2 linked regions of the Ovis aries genome follow. The protein of the gene in region 1 interacts with the protein of each later gene in a pairwise test. Links are inferred from orthologs where the notes say so. Each region holds a gene or a part of one and is shown in the gene's direction. Other genes may lie near its edges.

Region 1 (6,164 bases):
CCATAGAACCGTAATCCTCTATGAAGAATATTGCATTAACAAACAGAAGTATATTTCCGGCACGACGACACAGAATAAAATGTCAGAGGTCTGAATATATTGAGCAAGTGAGTTAACCTTTCACTGTCAGCAGTTCTTCCACCGTAAAACAGGGACGCTGTGATGACATCTACGTTGCAGTCACCGTTAAGATTACATACAACCCACGGACAGGTGCTTTCCAACACTGATGATGATCGGTGATTCAATACCGGGCAATGCTTTAGGGGCAAAGGGCTAAATGCCCAGATCCCTCCCTTTCCTTGGCGTTCCTTCCCAGCGGGAGGGGGCTGCAGCCACATCCCTCCTCGGAGAGAGGCGGCCCCCACGAACCACGCAGGATAAATTGTGAGGACTGGAAAAGCAAAGCCAGGTCACTCCAGCCCAACCTCGTCCCCAAGACGAGAGATTCGCAGCCTGCTACTCAGCAGGTTCAGCGCAGGATGTTTTTCCTGGTAAGAAGATATTTATTACGGCTGAAGCGCAAGAGGAGGGGCAAAGAAAACACAAGCATATACCCCCACCGACGATCCTAGTCTCTTGTCTCTCCAAAGCCGTATTAGGAAAACGCACGAAACCCAATTCATTACGAACTCTTGGGAGCTGTATCAATCCCAATGGCCCTCACCCCCAAAGATTCCCCTATCGGACCCCCCCACTCCACCCTGGGGACCGGTGGCGCAAAGCTCACCTGGTGGCCTCCACCAGCACGACCCGGCTCTGACCAGGCGCCTCCAGACGCGTAGTAGCCATCGCCTCCTCCGCCTTCCCCCGGCCAGGTGGTCTCCGCCGGGCCGCCCCCGCGTCCCCGCCAGGAAATGGGAGGTTGGGGAGGCTCGGGGCGCGGGGGGTAGATGGGCGGAGGCGGGTGCACCGGCACATCTCCACCCCCAGGCCCGTAGTAGCGGCCATAAGACGGGCCGTCACTGGGGCCGTAGCCCGAGCGCCTCAAGGCCGACATGGGCTCTGCCGCCCCCAGGCGCTTCCCGGCCCCCCGCCCCTCACGGCCGGCCCACCGCGCAGGCGCCGACGGGGGAGCGTGAATGGACCACAGGGAAAGGGGGTCGGCCTGCAACAGCCAATGCTAGGCAGGATCCCACCCCCCTTCACTTCCGCGTCCTAAGAGGACGAGGGCGGCTGTCCGTGACTCTGGGGTCTAAGAAGCAGGAGAACGAGCGTTCCTTAAAAGGGAGAACGCACCTCCGCACTGTCCGTGCAGCCTAGACTCCTCTTCCCCTTCTCGTCAGGGATATGTAAAGGATATCCTGGGGCGGGGGAAACCACACGAACTGTCCCGCCTCTTCCTGAGGGCGGGGACGTGGTGCCGGAAGTGGGTGGGGTAACATGGCGGCGTTTCCGGCAGGCCCCGGCTACTGAAAGCCGGGGCGGCGGCGTTTGTCCGGGTCCGGTTCCTGTCCCGGTCCCGCAAAGGCGGCGGCCGCGGTGGGAGGAAGGAGGTGTGGGACGCGCTGGCCCACCGCCGCTATACGCTGCAGCTCTGTCTCGACTCAAAATGAACTATATGCCTGGCACCGCCAGCCTCATCGAGGACATCGACAGTGAGTAGTTCATCTCCTCAGAGTGAAGTCTAGGGTGAAACTCTTCCTCCCAGGAGGGTACCTCTTAAGGAGGAAGCTGATAGAATGAGTCCGGGCCGGGGGCGGTGTGTATTTAGTCCAGTTCTGGACTTCCGGCGTTGGCATCCTCGCAGGATGCGGGAGTCACGGGACACACCGTTTGCCACTTTATCCCCTCCTGCCTGTATCCCGCCTCTCGCAGCTTCCACCGTATCTACCGGGCAAGCTGTAGAATTCATTTCTGCTTTTCAGAGTTGCGGCTGCTGAAGCGCACATGTGAAGGTTACCGTTTCCCCGGTCCATCGTCTCCCACCTGTGGTATTTCGAAGTACCAGGTGGTTACTGGGTGGATGAATGAGAATTCTCAGAAAAAGGGTTCTTGCAGAAACGAAAATAGTAATACAACAGCAGTTGGACTTAATTAGCACTAAACGTAGGGTTTATACTGTGTGGCCGTTTGCAGTCTTTTAACCGTTTGAGAGTATTTAGCTTTTCAGACTAGGTAGTGACTTTTCCAGAAAGACTGAGTCACTTCAAATTTACTTTTTTTCCTCTGTTAGTTTTCTCTTGCTGTTAAGACCTCCCTTATTCCAAGTCACTATCCTGAAGAAGAGCTCGGTTGTATCAGATGTCTTTTGTTTTTCCAAACTCTCATCTGTGAATTACTCCTAAAACAACACTTTTTAAAGTTGTGCCAATTGTGTGATCTGTCTCATTAACTTGTAATTGCTGTGAAACATTTACCACACAGTTCCAAACAAGTTCAGCAATTTTCTGCAGTTACTGTGTATGTAAAGAGTGAATTTGTGATGAAATCCTCTTCCTATTCTCTGAAATCACTCTTCAGATCCAAATTAGTGATTTTGCTACTGAAGGGAATGTAGTGTAGCTTGGATCAAATTCATGTGTGAATAACCACTGTACAGGCCTGTCTGTAACATGTAATGAAATCTTTAATTCTAGTTGTCTTGAGGATGGTGCCCTCACCTCTCTAGTTATGTATCTGAGTTATTTGAGATCCCTAGCACATCCTGCCATTCTAACAAAAATAATTGTTTTTCTCAAGTCTCTAACCCCATTTTGCAGATTCCAAGCTCCTCCTCTACTGAATGGTTTCAAATCATTTCATACGCAGCCTTCAGTGCAACACACACACACACACTTTCCTCCTCTCTCCTCAGTCTTCCTGTATTTTCACCCATCCTGTCATCTCAGTTGGAAGTATTCCTCCCTTTCAGTCTGTGTCTTATTTATTTTTCCTTCCAGCTGCTTCTGGAATCCATTAATACCCTTTTTCTCTCATATTTCTTGCTCCCCTTCATGTATGTTCTTGTCTGTCGTATTTTTTTTCAGTTATATTTCACCATCAAATTCCCATTCCTTTTTTCACATCTGTACCCCCAAACCTCTTAAATCATCTCCCATTTTAACTATTTCCTGGCTACCTGGAGTAGACCACCTCTGTCACCCTACAATCAGATTTTTTTGTCAACACACTACTGAAACTGCAATCTTAAAAGACATCTGTCTAATGCATTCCTTCCCCTTTTTGGCGCTGTGATGCCATCATCATAGGATTCTTCATTTTCTTGATTTTTCCAACACTGGTCCTTGATTTTCTTATCTCTGCAACAGTTATTGTTCCCTAAAATAAATGGACCCCTAGGTTCCATCTTTGGCTGCTGCTTTCTTTAAATCTCTAGGAGAGTTCCTGGACTTTAATAATGATATCACCTCTTTGTGGGCATATCAAAAATTGCTCTTTGGCCTTCCAGTCTTAGATCTCCAGTTGCCAGCTGACGTTTCTGCACAGGTGTCTTGATACCACTTGAGAATCACAACAGCAAAACACCTTTCATGGGATCTTGCTTCTTTCACTCCTAACTTTTGGTACATAGTCCTCCCTGACAAGATGACTCAAAATTCCTGCATCATCTTTAACCCATCTCTTCAGCTTCCCACTCTCTCACACACATATCCACATATACAAACACACTTGGTTGACCGATTCCATCCCTTATAACTGCAGTGTCTTGATCCTCTCAGCCTCTCCCGTCCCATCTCTGCCCTGCTTCAGGTCTCTTCTTCATGTCTTAGACTCTGGTAATAGCCTCAAAACCATTCTCTCTTTTTCAACCAGTTGAATCTTCAGAGTTGTCTTGTTCCCCATGAAGGCACATCCAAACTCAGCCTGCTCCCAGTACTTTTCTGACTTCATCTCCTATTCCCTTCACACCCTCAACTTTTAGCCACACATCCGGATACACAGCTCCCTTTTCTTCTGCCTAAATTACAGATTTCCCCCTTCCAGTCCCTGTCACTCTTCCCATGGCCAAAAATTATCTACCCCTTTTAAGGTCCATTGGAGAAGGCAATGGCAACCCACTCCAGTACTCTTGCCTGGAAAATCCCATGGGCAGAGGAGCCTGGTAGGCTATAGTCCGTGGGGTTGCCAAGAGTCGGACACAACTGAGCAACTTCACTTTCACCTTAAAGTCCAACTCATATCTCCAGCTAGATACAGTTTCTCTCACTCTCATGTAATTAAGATTTGCCCTCTTGTGGTACTTAATTATAGCAAAAAAAAGCCTTTAAATTCCTTCAGGAAAGAATCACTGTCTTGTTGCACTGTTCTGCATCTTGTTGTTCAGTTGCTCAGTGGTGTCCAACTCTTTACAACCCCATGGACTTTAACACACCAGGCTTCCCTGTCTTTCACTGTCTCCCAGAGTTTGCTCAAACTCATGTTCATTGTGTTGATGATGCCATCCAACCGTCTCATCCTCTCTTGCCCCCTTCTCCTGTTGCCCTCAGTCTTTCCCAGCATCAGGGTCTTTTCCATTGAGTCGGCTCTTTGCATCAGGTGGCCAAAGTAGCGGAGCTTCAGCATCAGTCCTTCCAATGAATATTCAGGGTTGATTTCCTTTAGAATTGACTGGTTTGATCTCCTTGCTGCCTAAGGGACCCTTAAGAGTCTTGCATCAGTTCTTTGGTGCTCAGCCTTCTTTATGGTCCACGGTCTGCATGTAGAAAGTACTTTATGCATGGCATTAAAGACGAATAAGTGATTTTCGCTGGCTGTGCTGGGCTTCCCTTGTAGCTCAGTCTGCTAGCTATTCTAGTGACTGGCTTACTGTCATTCCTCAGTGTCGGCTCAGAGTCACCTCTTCAGAGAGGTTTTCCTTAGCCACCTTCTTTTTTTTTTCCTCCCCCTGTGTTTGTTTATTTACTCGGCTATACTGGGTCTTAGTTGCAGCACATGGTATCTTTAGTCGCAGCATGCACACTCTTAGTTGTAGCGTATGAGATCTTGTCCCTGGGCCCCCTACATTGGGAGTGTGGAGTCTTAGCCCCTGGACTACCCGGGAAGTCCCCAGCAAACTCTCTTCTATAGTTTCTTCCCCTCCCTTTCTTATATTATCCTGCTGTCTTATTTTTATTCTGCTAGACTAATCACCATAGGTCATTTTTTAAAATATGTTTGCTTTTCTCCACCAGGCTTATAAGTTCATGAGGTTGGTGACTCTGAGTCTTATTCTCTACTATATATCTAGGCCCCAGAACAGCACATAGCCCTCAATGCATTCTGTTGAATTTTTGCTCTGGTTTTATTCTCAGCATCCTCATTTTACATGTCTTTGGTACTGTTTTTATTTAAAACCATCTCTGATTCCAAAGTGTGAAATAGAAACTCTAAGTTGAGGAGAAAATAATTTTGGAAAATGAAGATCATAAAGACCATCTAGAGCAAATGTCCAGATTGGCAGGTATAGAAACTGACATGATGCTGACAGGGTTTAACTGTCGAGCACTGGCGTCTGGAGCCAGTCCGTTGGGCCCCCTGACTGTGTGCCCAGTCCCTCCCCGCTCTGCTGCCCCTCTTAGATTCTTTTCACCACCCATCTTCTCATCTAAACTAATCCCCAGCTGCCTTGGCCATCCCTCTAGTTTCTCAATGAACTGCGTTAAATGCATTAAATGCTCTATAAGAGGAAATGCTAAAGCTTAATCTGCTATTAACTCTGTTTTTGTTTCCCTGTAAACTCGCTGAAGCTAACGGTTCATTTTTTAAAGATCTCTTTTCCTCTCCCCAGAAAAGCACTTGGTCCTGCTTCGAGATGGAAGGACACTCATAGGATTTTTGAGAAGCATTGATCAATTTGGTATGTATTACTCATGGACTTATCATGAGTCCGTGGTGATAAGAGCCATGGTGGCTTTTATCATCCCACACTCTGGATGATAAGAGCTGCCCACTGTATTTTTATGTTGTTTCGTATTGAAGTTTATTTATCTGCAACTTTTTTCACGTACCTGGCATGATGAAATACTGTTTTAAGTCACTACATCATTGTTTTCTAAATTACAATTAGGTGGTTTGAAAGCTTGTGTTTACAAGCTTATATTTTATTTCTAAAACTGGTTTTCACTATTAGAACATGTCGTTACAATGTTTTGGACTGTTTTTTATTTTCCCCATTAGAGGGAGCCAGATGATAGAAATACACTCAGTCCACTGAAAAGGCTGCTCATTTGTACATTGGCTTG
Region 2 (7,209 bases), on another chromosome or scaffold:
ATCCTGCCAGGGGCAGGGCTTTGTGGAGGGCCAGGGCCCGAGGCACCGGGCTGGATGTGGAGCTGGGCAGAGGCACAAGGCTCCAAGTCTCTGGTGCCCTGGACTTTGCACCTGTGGTTGCTGCCCAGCAGGCACTGAGCTGCTCCTCCACCCCCCAACCCCAACCCCACTCCTGACCAGGAAGGACTTGCGCCGTTCTCTACAGGAAGGGGGTGGCCTCCAGGGCAGACTCCCTCCACCTGCCTGCACTGGGTTCTGCTAGTTAGCGCTTTCCTTTCCCCTTGATTCCCGTCTCCATCACCTGCCCAAGGTAGCCCCCCATGTTACGGGGAAGAACCTGCTGGGAGGCCCGGGCTGTCTTGAGCCAAGGACAGGGTACCCCCAGGGCTCGCCCCGCCAGCATTCAGCAGAGCACGAGGCAGCCACTCTTGTCCTCGAAGACACACAGGGGAGGGGGGACCACCCCCCCTCCCCCTCAGCTGCTCAGCTCTGTGGCTTATTTCCTGGGACCAAACTCCAGGTGGCAGGTGGCTGGGGATTTCCATTGTGGCTGTAGCACATGGCGCCATGGTGCACAGCTGGGCACGTGTCCTTCTGCACACGGCCAACGGGTTCTGTCCACTTTGAGGACATGGAGCCAATCACTGGGTCTTGGGGCCAAGGTCAGTCCTGCCTCCACGGCCAAGCCTGGACACATGGCTCCCCCTGGAGGGTTCCCCTCAGGACCCAGCAGTTGGGAGGAGAAACTGGGTGTGAGGAACCAATCTGTGCAGCCATCAGGCCTCCTCACCTGTAAGCAGGTGACAGCAGCCCCTTCTCCCCGGGGGCAGCCGGATCCAGAGACCCCAGAGGCTGAGAGTATGCAGGAGAGCAAGCGTCTGGAGGCATGAGCTGCCCCCATGGAAAGCGTGTAAGCCTGGTTCCCCCAGGGAGTGCGCTGGGCTGGCCTGCCCTTGGCTGGGGAAATGCCTCACGCTGAAAGGCCGCCCCGGTCCCAGCCCTGAGCTTCCACAGAATCATCGTCCTGCCTGGCTGTACTCTGCATCCCCACAGACTTGGCTGCTCGCCTACCCTTTCTGGGAAAAGAATGCTCTGAGGCCTCTTGGGGCTCCTGTATGGGTCGGGGGCTCTTATGTATGTTCCTGGGAAGAGCTGGCCCTCAGATATTCCACTTGTCCCCGCCGAGCGCCTGCACTGGGCTGCGCCAAGTGGTCCAGGCACTGCTGATGTCATTCAGGAGGACTGGGGGCTTCAAGGAGGCTGTAAGCGAGGCCTGTTGAGGGCTGCAGTTAGCCAGACATGAACAGGAGGAAACAGCGTGTGCAAAATGCGGGAGGCCAGAAGCCCACTGCGTGTGTTCCAGAATGTTCCATCTGGAAGGCACATCGAATGCTGAGAGAGGGCAGCCAGAGTGGGGCTGGATCTCAGGCCCTCTGGAGCCACACTGAGAGAGTTGGACCTCATCCTTGGCCAACGGGGCCCTGATTGGGATCTAAGCAGGGAGATGTCTTGGTCTGATTTCTAGGGGTGTGGGGGAGGGGTTGGCTTGGGGCAGCAGGGGTGGGGCAGGAGAAGCAATCTGATGGATGAGATCCCGGGCTCCTGCCCAAGGGCAGCAGGAGGGTGGGGTGAGGCCTTGTGCTGGTCACAGGGTGTTTGAGAGTTGGGGGGAGACAGCATCCTGAAAACGTCAAGGTCGGTGTTGCTCAAGAGTCTACAGCTGTACAAGTCCCCTTGTCTCTCGAGCTTCCATTAGCTCCCCTGTAAACTGGCATCACTGGATGCTGCCCCGGCTGGCCCCAAACCTGCCTCCCCACCCTCTCCTGGCCCTCTTCACCCACCACCCAGGGTCTGTGTCCTGCTCACCTGTGTCCCATGGCCAGCTCAGACCCTGCCACGAGACACTTGTGTGAATGACTGAGTCACAGTGCGTGGAGCGGACTCCAGGAGAGCTCGGGGAGACGGGGAGCAGAAGGGGGAGGAGCTGAGCTGTGGCAGCACCTGGCCTGTGAGGCAGCCTCGCGCCTCTCCAGGCTTTGGATGGCATCCCCCACCAGAGGACAGGCTGAGGGCACAGGCTGCTCACGAGGCCCTGCCCTGCCCGCCCTCGTGTGTGAAGGGCTGCCAAGGGTCTGGAGAGAGCCTGCTGGAGGGCGGCCCTCCCACGTCCTGTGCAGAAGGAGGGGCCTCGTACCCTGCGGGGGCGACGCCAGGCACAGGGAGCCTGAGTGGATGGATGCTGCCCGGCTGCCTACACGTTCCTCCCCACGGCTCTGACACGTACCCCCTGTTGCAGGACGGGGACAAATTCTGGCGGATGCCCGAGTGCTACATCCGCGGCAGCACCATCAAGTACCTGCGCATCCCTGACGAGATCATCGACATGGTCAAGGAGGAGGTGGTGGCCAAGGGCCGTGGCCGCGGTGGCCTGCAGCAGCAGAAGCAGCAGAAGGGCCGCGGGATGGGGGGCGCCGGGCGAGGTAGGCCCTTCTCTCCGCCCTCTCCCCTGGCAGGCAGCCGGGGCCTCCCCGCTGGAGCGTGACTGCCGCGCGCGGCATCTGGCCTGGCCCAGTGCTGGCATTCTCCGCTGGTGGCGTCATGTTGCCGAGGGCCTGGCTCTGCGCCCCTCCTCCATGGCACTGGGGGGCTGTGACTCACGGGGCTCTTCTGTGGAACAGTTGGTGCTGCTGGTTGCCACCTGCATGCCCCGTGTCCCCCACCCCAGGAGCCCAGCTAAGCCCTAGTGGTCAGTGCTGGCCGCGCCCATCCTCACAACATGGGCCCTCCTCCCCGCAGTGGCTCTTGGTGCTCCCTCAGCTCCAGATGCCGCCCAGCAGACTAACCCAGCACCCACACAGACCTGGGACTTGAGCCCCACCTGTGTTTCCTGGCAGGTGCTCTGGGCACCTCGGGGAGGCTCAGATTCCCCCCTGCGGAGAAGATCCCCGTGGTGCCCAGCCTGGGACCCTTCCCTGCTGTGACTCCTTTAGACAAAACCAAGGTCACGCCTTTTGGGTAGATCACCCCGCACCACCCTGAAATCATAAATCTTGCATAAAACTAAACGTGCAGTCAGCTAGAGCCGCAGCCCAGAGGCCAGCTGTGGGCCCCACCCTCCCCCACCCGACTTCTGTCTCACCCACCTGGAGGGGCTTGTATGCCAGGTTCCAGGAACCCACCCTGGAGGCTTATATGCAGAGCCAGGAAAGACATAGGAGCCCCCCTGAGCTGAGGCTTGAGTGACAGAAAGGAGCCAGAGAGAAGAGGGCACCGCAGGTGGAGAAGAACCTAGGATGGGGGTGAGCAGGGCCCCAGAGGTCCCAGGACCTGCCCCCAGGGCTAGGCTGCCCACCCAGGGTGCCATCGCTGTCGAGTAAACTGCCTGAAGGAGCAGGGAGGACAGGGAGAGGCGCTTGCATAGGGGCCCCTGCATGACCAGGCTCCCCTTGCCCAAGCTGGGTCTTGCTCCATTAGAGATGAGGCTGGGCAGACCCTGTCAGCCCTGGCCCTGTCCCCTGTATGCGTGTGGAGGAAGGGGGCCCTGGAAGGCCAGGCTGCTGCTTCTGTGACTTCCTGGGCAGGGGCTGCACCCACCCTTGGGCTATTCACCTTCCCCAGCAGCAGTGCTGTGTGCTCCACGTAAAATGCCTTTCGGAAACAGCCCCACCTCTGGCTGCAGAGGTCAGAGCTCAGGAGGCTCCCCCGCCCCTTCTCTGGGCTGGACACACAGAGACCCCACCCCACCCCATTGTTTCAGCAAGGCAGGGTGGGGTCCCCCGGTGCAGCCCCAGTCACAGAGCTGAGCATCGTTGCTCCACCCCTGGGCTGAGTCCAGGCCTCATCCTAGCTTGTACTCCCAGCTCCTCCTGGAAACCCTTCTGATTTTGTCCTGCTGATGACTACCCACCCCCTCACCTTGGCCCTCAGCCCTCTCTTCCAGGAAGCATATCCCCCCCCCCGCCGCCGCCCCCGCAAGCCCCAGTGTGACTTGATGCCAACCTCTGTCCTTCTTGGCATCCTTCGCACCCCTGGGGCGCCTGGTCTGATATCCCTTGTCACACTGAGAATGTTGTGGAGCAATACCCCTGCCCAGCCCTGGTCAGACACTCCATCTCAGATTTTCAACCTGCTCTTCCCACCGACGGTACAGTCACTGCCCCCACTTTACAGAGGTGAAAGCTGAGGCTCAGAGGGGTTCAACGACTTGGCTATAGTCTAAGGGTTCCAGTTCCTGGTCCTTGCCCACAGTGACCCTCCCAGCCTGGCTCTACTGAACCCCCCCTCCTGTCTCACAGGTGTGTTCGGTGGCCGGGGCCGAGGTGGGATCCCTGGGACTGGCAGAGGTCAACCAGAAAAGAAGCCAGGCAGACAGGCGGGCAAACAGTGAGCCGCCCCTCCATTCCCGAGACTGAGCTGCCGCGCCGAGCACCTGCTCCCACCCTGAGGCTGCATTCCTGGTCTCCAGTTTATGACTGTTCAGAACAAAAAGAAGAGGCAGGGGTCGGGGAGGACCCCCTGCCTGTCCTCTGGTGGTCCTCCTCTTTTTTTGTTAGCCAGCAGTTCTATGGTTGGAAATGTTAATTCTGTGCTTCTGGTTTTGTGAAGCCGCAGCCAACTGGATTCCTGGAAGATTCTGTGTTTAATGCATCGTTAAAGCCCTCACTCTTGTTTTAAGGGCAGGCATTTTCCAAACAGGTTTGTTTTGCATTCTGTGTGGTAAACAGACGGGAGGTTTTTATTTTCAGCTGTTTGCACTGAGATTGATAGCCTGGAGGGTCTCCTGAAACACGGACCCTGAAACTGCCTTTTCGAAATGGATCCAGGCAAACGTATGCCTCAGAAGCTGTTCTGGGGGATGATGCTGGGCCCTATTCCGTCCCTTCTTCTCTCCCTCTTTGTCTTAGAAAAATAAAAACAAATACAACTACAAACTGCGAAATCCATAATTCCTTTGAACCACTGGGTGAATCTAGTTGTAGTGTCCTCAGGAAATCACAGCCCCCACGCAAGAAGTTTCCTTTTGCCCCCTGTGGCCTCTCACCAAGGGGAAGCATTTCAATGGGACACTGGTTCCCATGACCCTCAGCAGCCTCTTACAAAAGGTGGAAGGCAAAATGGGGGTCTGGGCAGTAGGGGAGCCCCTTCCCCTCTGTGGGGCGGTGGGGGAGGGAAGTTGTGGGTGGGAGCCAGTGGGACACCCACACTGCCTGTCCTCAGCCTCCATCTCTGTTGTGCAAGCACTGTTCACAGCAGAGCTCCCTGAGAAGCCGTGACATGGAGCTGCCTCCAGGAACACATGAGGAAGGCTTTTCACGAACTGTTTACCTCCTCTTAGGGTCGGGGCACTTGCCTGTCCGCGACTCAGCGATTTGCCTGAGACGCTGAGCCAGCACTTGTGCGGAACACTTCCGGCGATGTGGTCCTTTGACCGATATTCCTGGACAGCCTGGTGTTAAGAGGCTGGTTCCTATGGATGTGAGGTCTACCTGGCCTGAGGTCTACTTGTCACCGATACCATGTTGAGACCGGTTCTGAAGGGTGATTGGAAGAAAAGATGGTGGTGCCTGTAGAGCTCCACTTAGGTCTGCCAAGTACTGGCCTAGCTATGGCAAAGCCTCTCTTAAGTTTTCTCAGTCTCATCCTATCTGGAGAGTGCTGTTCCCTGCCACTTCCTCATCATTGCTTCTCTCCATTTGCACCCCGCCCAGGACCTGCTGCTGCCTGAGTCCTTGTTTTGGCATAGGTTGGGGACAGCGGTGCGGGGTCTGAATGTGACCTGGGCCCTGGGAACCCACCTCCCTCAGAGACGTGGGCGGTGCCAGGCCAGGCTGGTAGGAAGACAAAAAAGAATGGCGGGGAGGGAGGGCCTGTGTTCACCCCATAGCCCTGGACACAGAATCCCATAATGGCCTTTGGGGGCCTTGGTCTGAAGTCTGGGTTTCCCACTTTGCAAGGGCGTGATGTCTGGTGAGGCTTTGATGAAAGCCGGGGGCTCTGCCTCGGGTGTCCTGCACGGCTGTGAACGAGAAACCCTTTAGAAGCCCCGCCCCTTCCTGCCGTTCGCGGTTTGGTTTTTCTTCCTTAGCTCTGGACCAAGAACATGTACAGACGTTCCCAAGGGCCTCTTCGCCGCTCAAGGTCTTGGGTCTCCGACGCGCCCCGTCTCCACACAGGGGCGCATCCCCGGCGGCGTGCGTAATCGCGGCTTCCTGCCCGCGCCGCCAGCCGCCCCTGACCTTTCCAGCCGGGCAGCCCCGGCTCCCGGCCCAGTTCTCTCCGAGCCCGCTGGTGACGTGAGCCGCCTCCCCAGCACTGGCCGCTTAGGTGCCAAGGGGCTTCCGGAAGCCTCCGTCCTCCTGAGCTGGGTGTCAGGACAGCCCGGTTTTCCAGTTCTTCTTCCTGGTTGGTTTCAAGAAACCAGCCTCAACGCCCTGAACAAGAAGAGAAACCAAAAGTGCCGGGCTGGTTCCCACAAGCCGGCCTCCTTCTTTCTGCCCTCCTGATGGTCTGTCTCCGGGGGCTAGCGCCCCCACCATCTGACTGCTGCATGACCCGCAGCCTGCGGGCTACCTTAAGTGTAGGTGGTGAAGTGTAGGTGTTTCCCGCGGGCCGTCCTCCCTTTGGAGTTTGTTCCAGCTGTCAGGCCAGGGAGGCCCACACACCCAGGTGTGACTCAGCCTGGGGCCTGCCTGGATTGCCCTGTTGCTTCAACCTGGGGCCATGAGTCCATTTCAGGGAGCTGGATCCAGTGGGCAGCCGTAAGCAGCAGCCCCCAGGTAGTGGTGGGCAGGAGGGCGACTCTTGCCTTCCTGTCCTGCACACCCCTCAGCACTGACTCCTCCTCCACTGGCCTCACCGGCTGCTCCACCAGCACCTCCCCTGGAAGCCCTGCCCCAGCCTGCTGCCTCCCACTTCCTCAGGCAGGCTTGATGGCAGGTGCCCTCCCCAGCCATTCAGCTGGGCCCTGGGGTCTGCGTGTCCCGGCCTGTGTGTCCCTACCTGCCATCACTGTCTCAGTGTTCTCTGAGAGCCCTCCGTGGACAAGGCTGTTTGGTCTGTGGGAGGTACGGGAGGTGGTCTGATGTCCACTCAGACAGTCTCAATGGGGGCAGCTGTTCGCCATAACGGGAACAGAGGCCTGGCTGGGGGTGGAGAAACTGGGGCCACAACCGCATCCCAGGCACTGGAGACTAAGCTGTGAATTAAACA

What was found.
Region 2: the proteins of LSM1 (region 1) and LSM4 interact in binary tests that used the Homo sapiens proteins (3 or more experiments, as listed by UniProt). The link is inferred for Ovis aries from reciprocal best matches to the Homo sapiens genes LSM1 and LSM4.

What each region holds. Positions count from the first base shown.
Region 1 is NC_056079.1:32,439,912-32,446,075, reverse strand, and holds the start of LSM1 (U6 snRNA-associated Sm-like protein LSm1), read left to right. Parts: upstream 1-1,380; 5' UTR 1,381-1,552; coding exon 1,553-1,598; intron 1,599-5,710; coding exon 5,711-5,779; intron 5,780-6,164. Other genes in the region: BAG4 (BAG family molecular chaperone regulator 4), read right to left, coding at 731-1,000. UniProt on the Homo sapiens protein: Plays a role in the degradation of histone mRNAs, the only eukaryotic mRNAs that are not polyadenylated. Probably also part of an LSm subunits-containing complex involved in the general process of mRNA degradation.
Region 2 is NC_056058.1:4,693,104-4,700,312, forward strand, and holds the end of LSM4 (U6 snRNA-associated Sm-like protein LSm4), read left to right. Parts: intron 1-2,296; coding exon 2,297-2,480; intron 2,481-4,295; coding exon 4,296-4,387; 3' UTR 4,388-4,931; downstream 4,932-7,209. UniProt on the Homo sapiens protein: Plays a role in pre-mRNA splicing as component of the U4/U6-U5 tri-snRNP complex that is involved in spliceosome assembly, and as component of the precatalytic spliceosome (spliceosome B complex).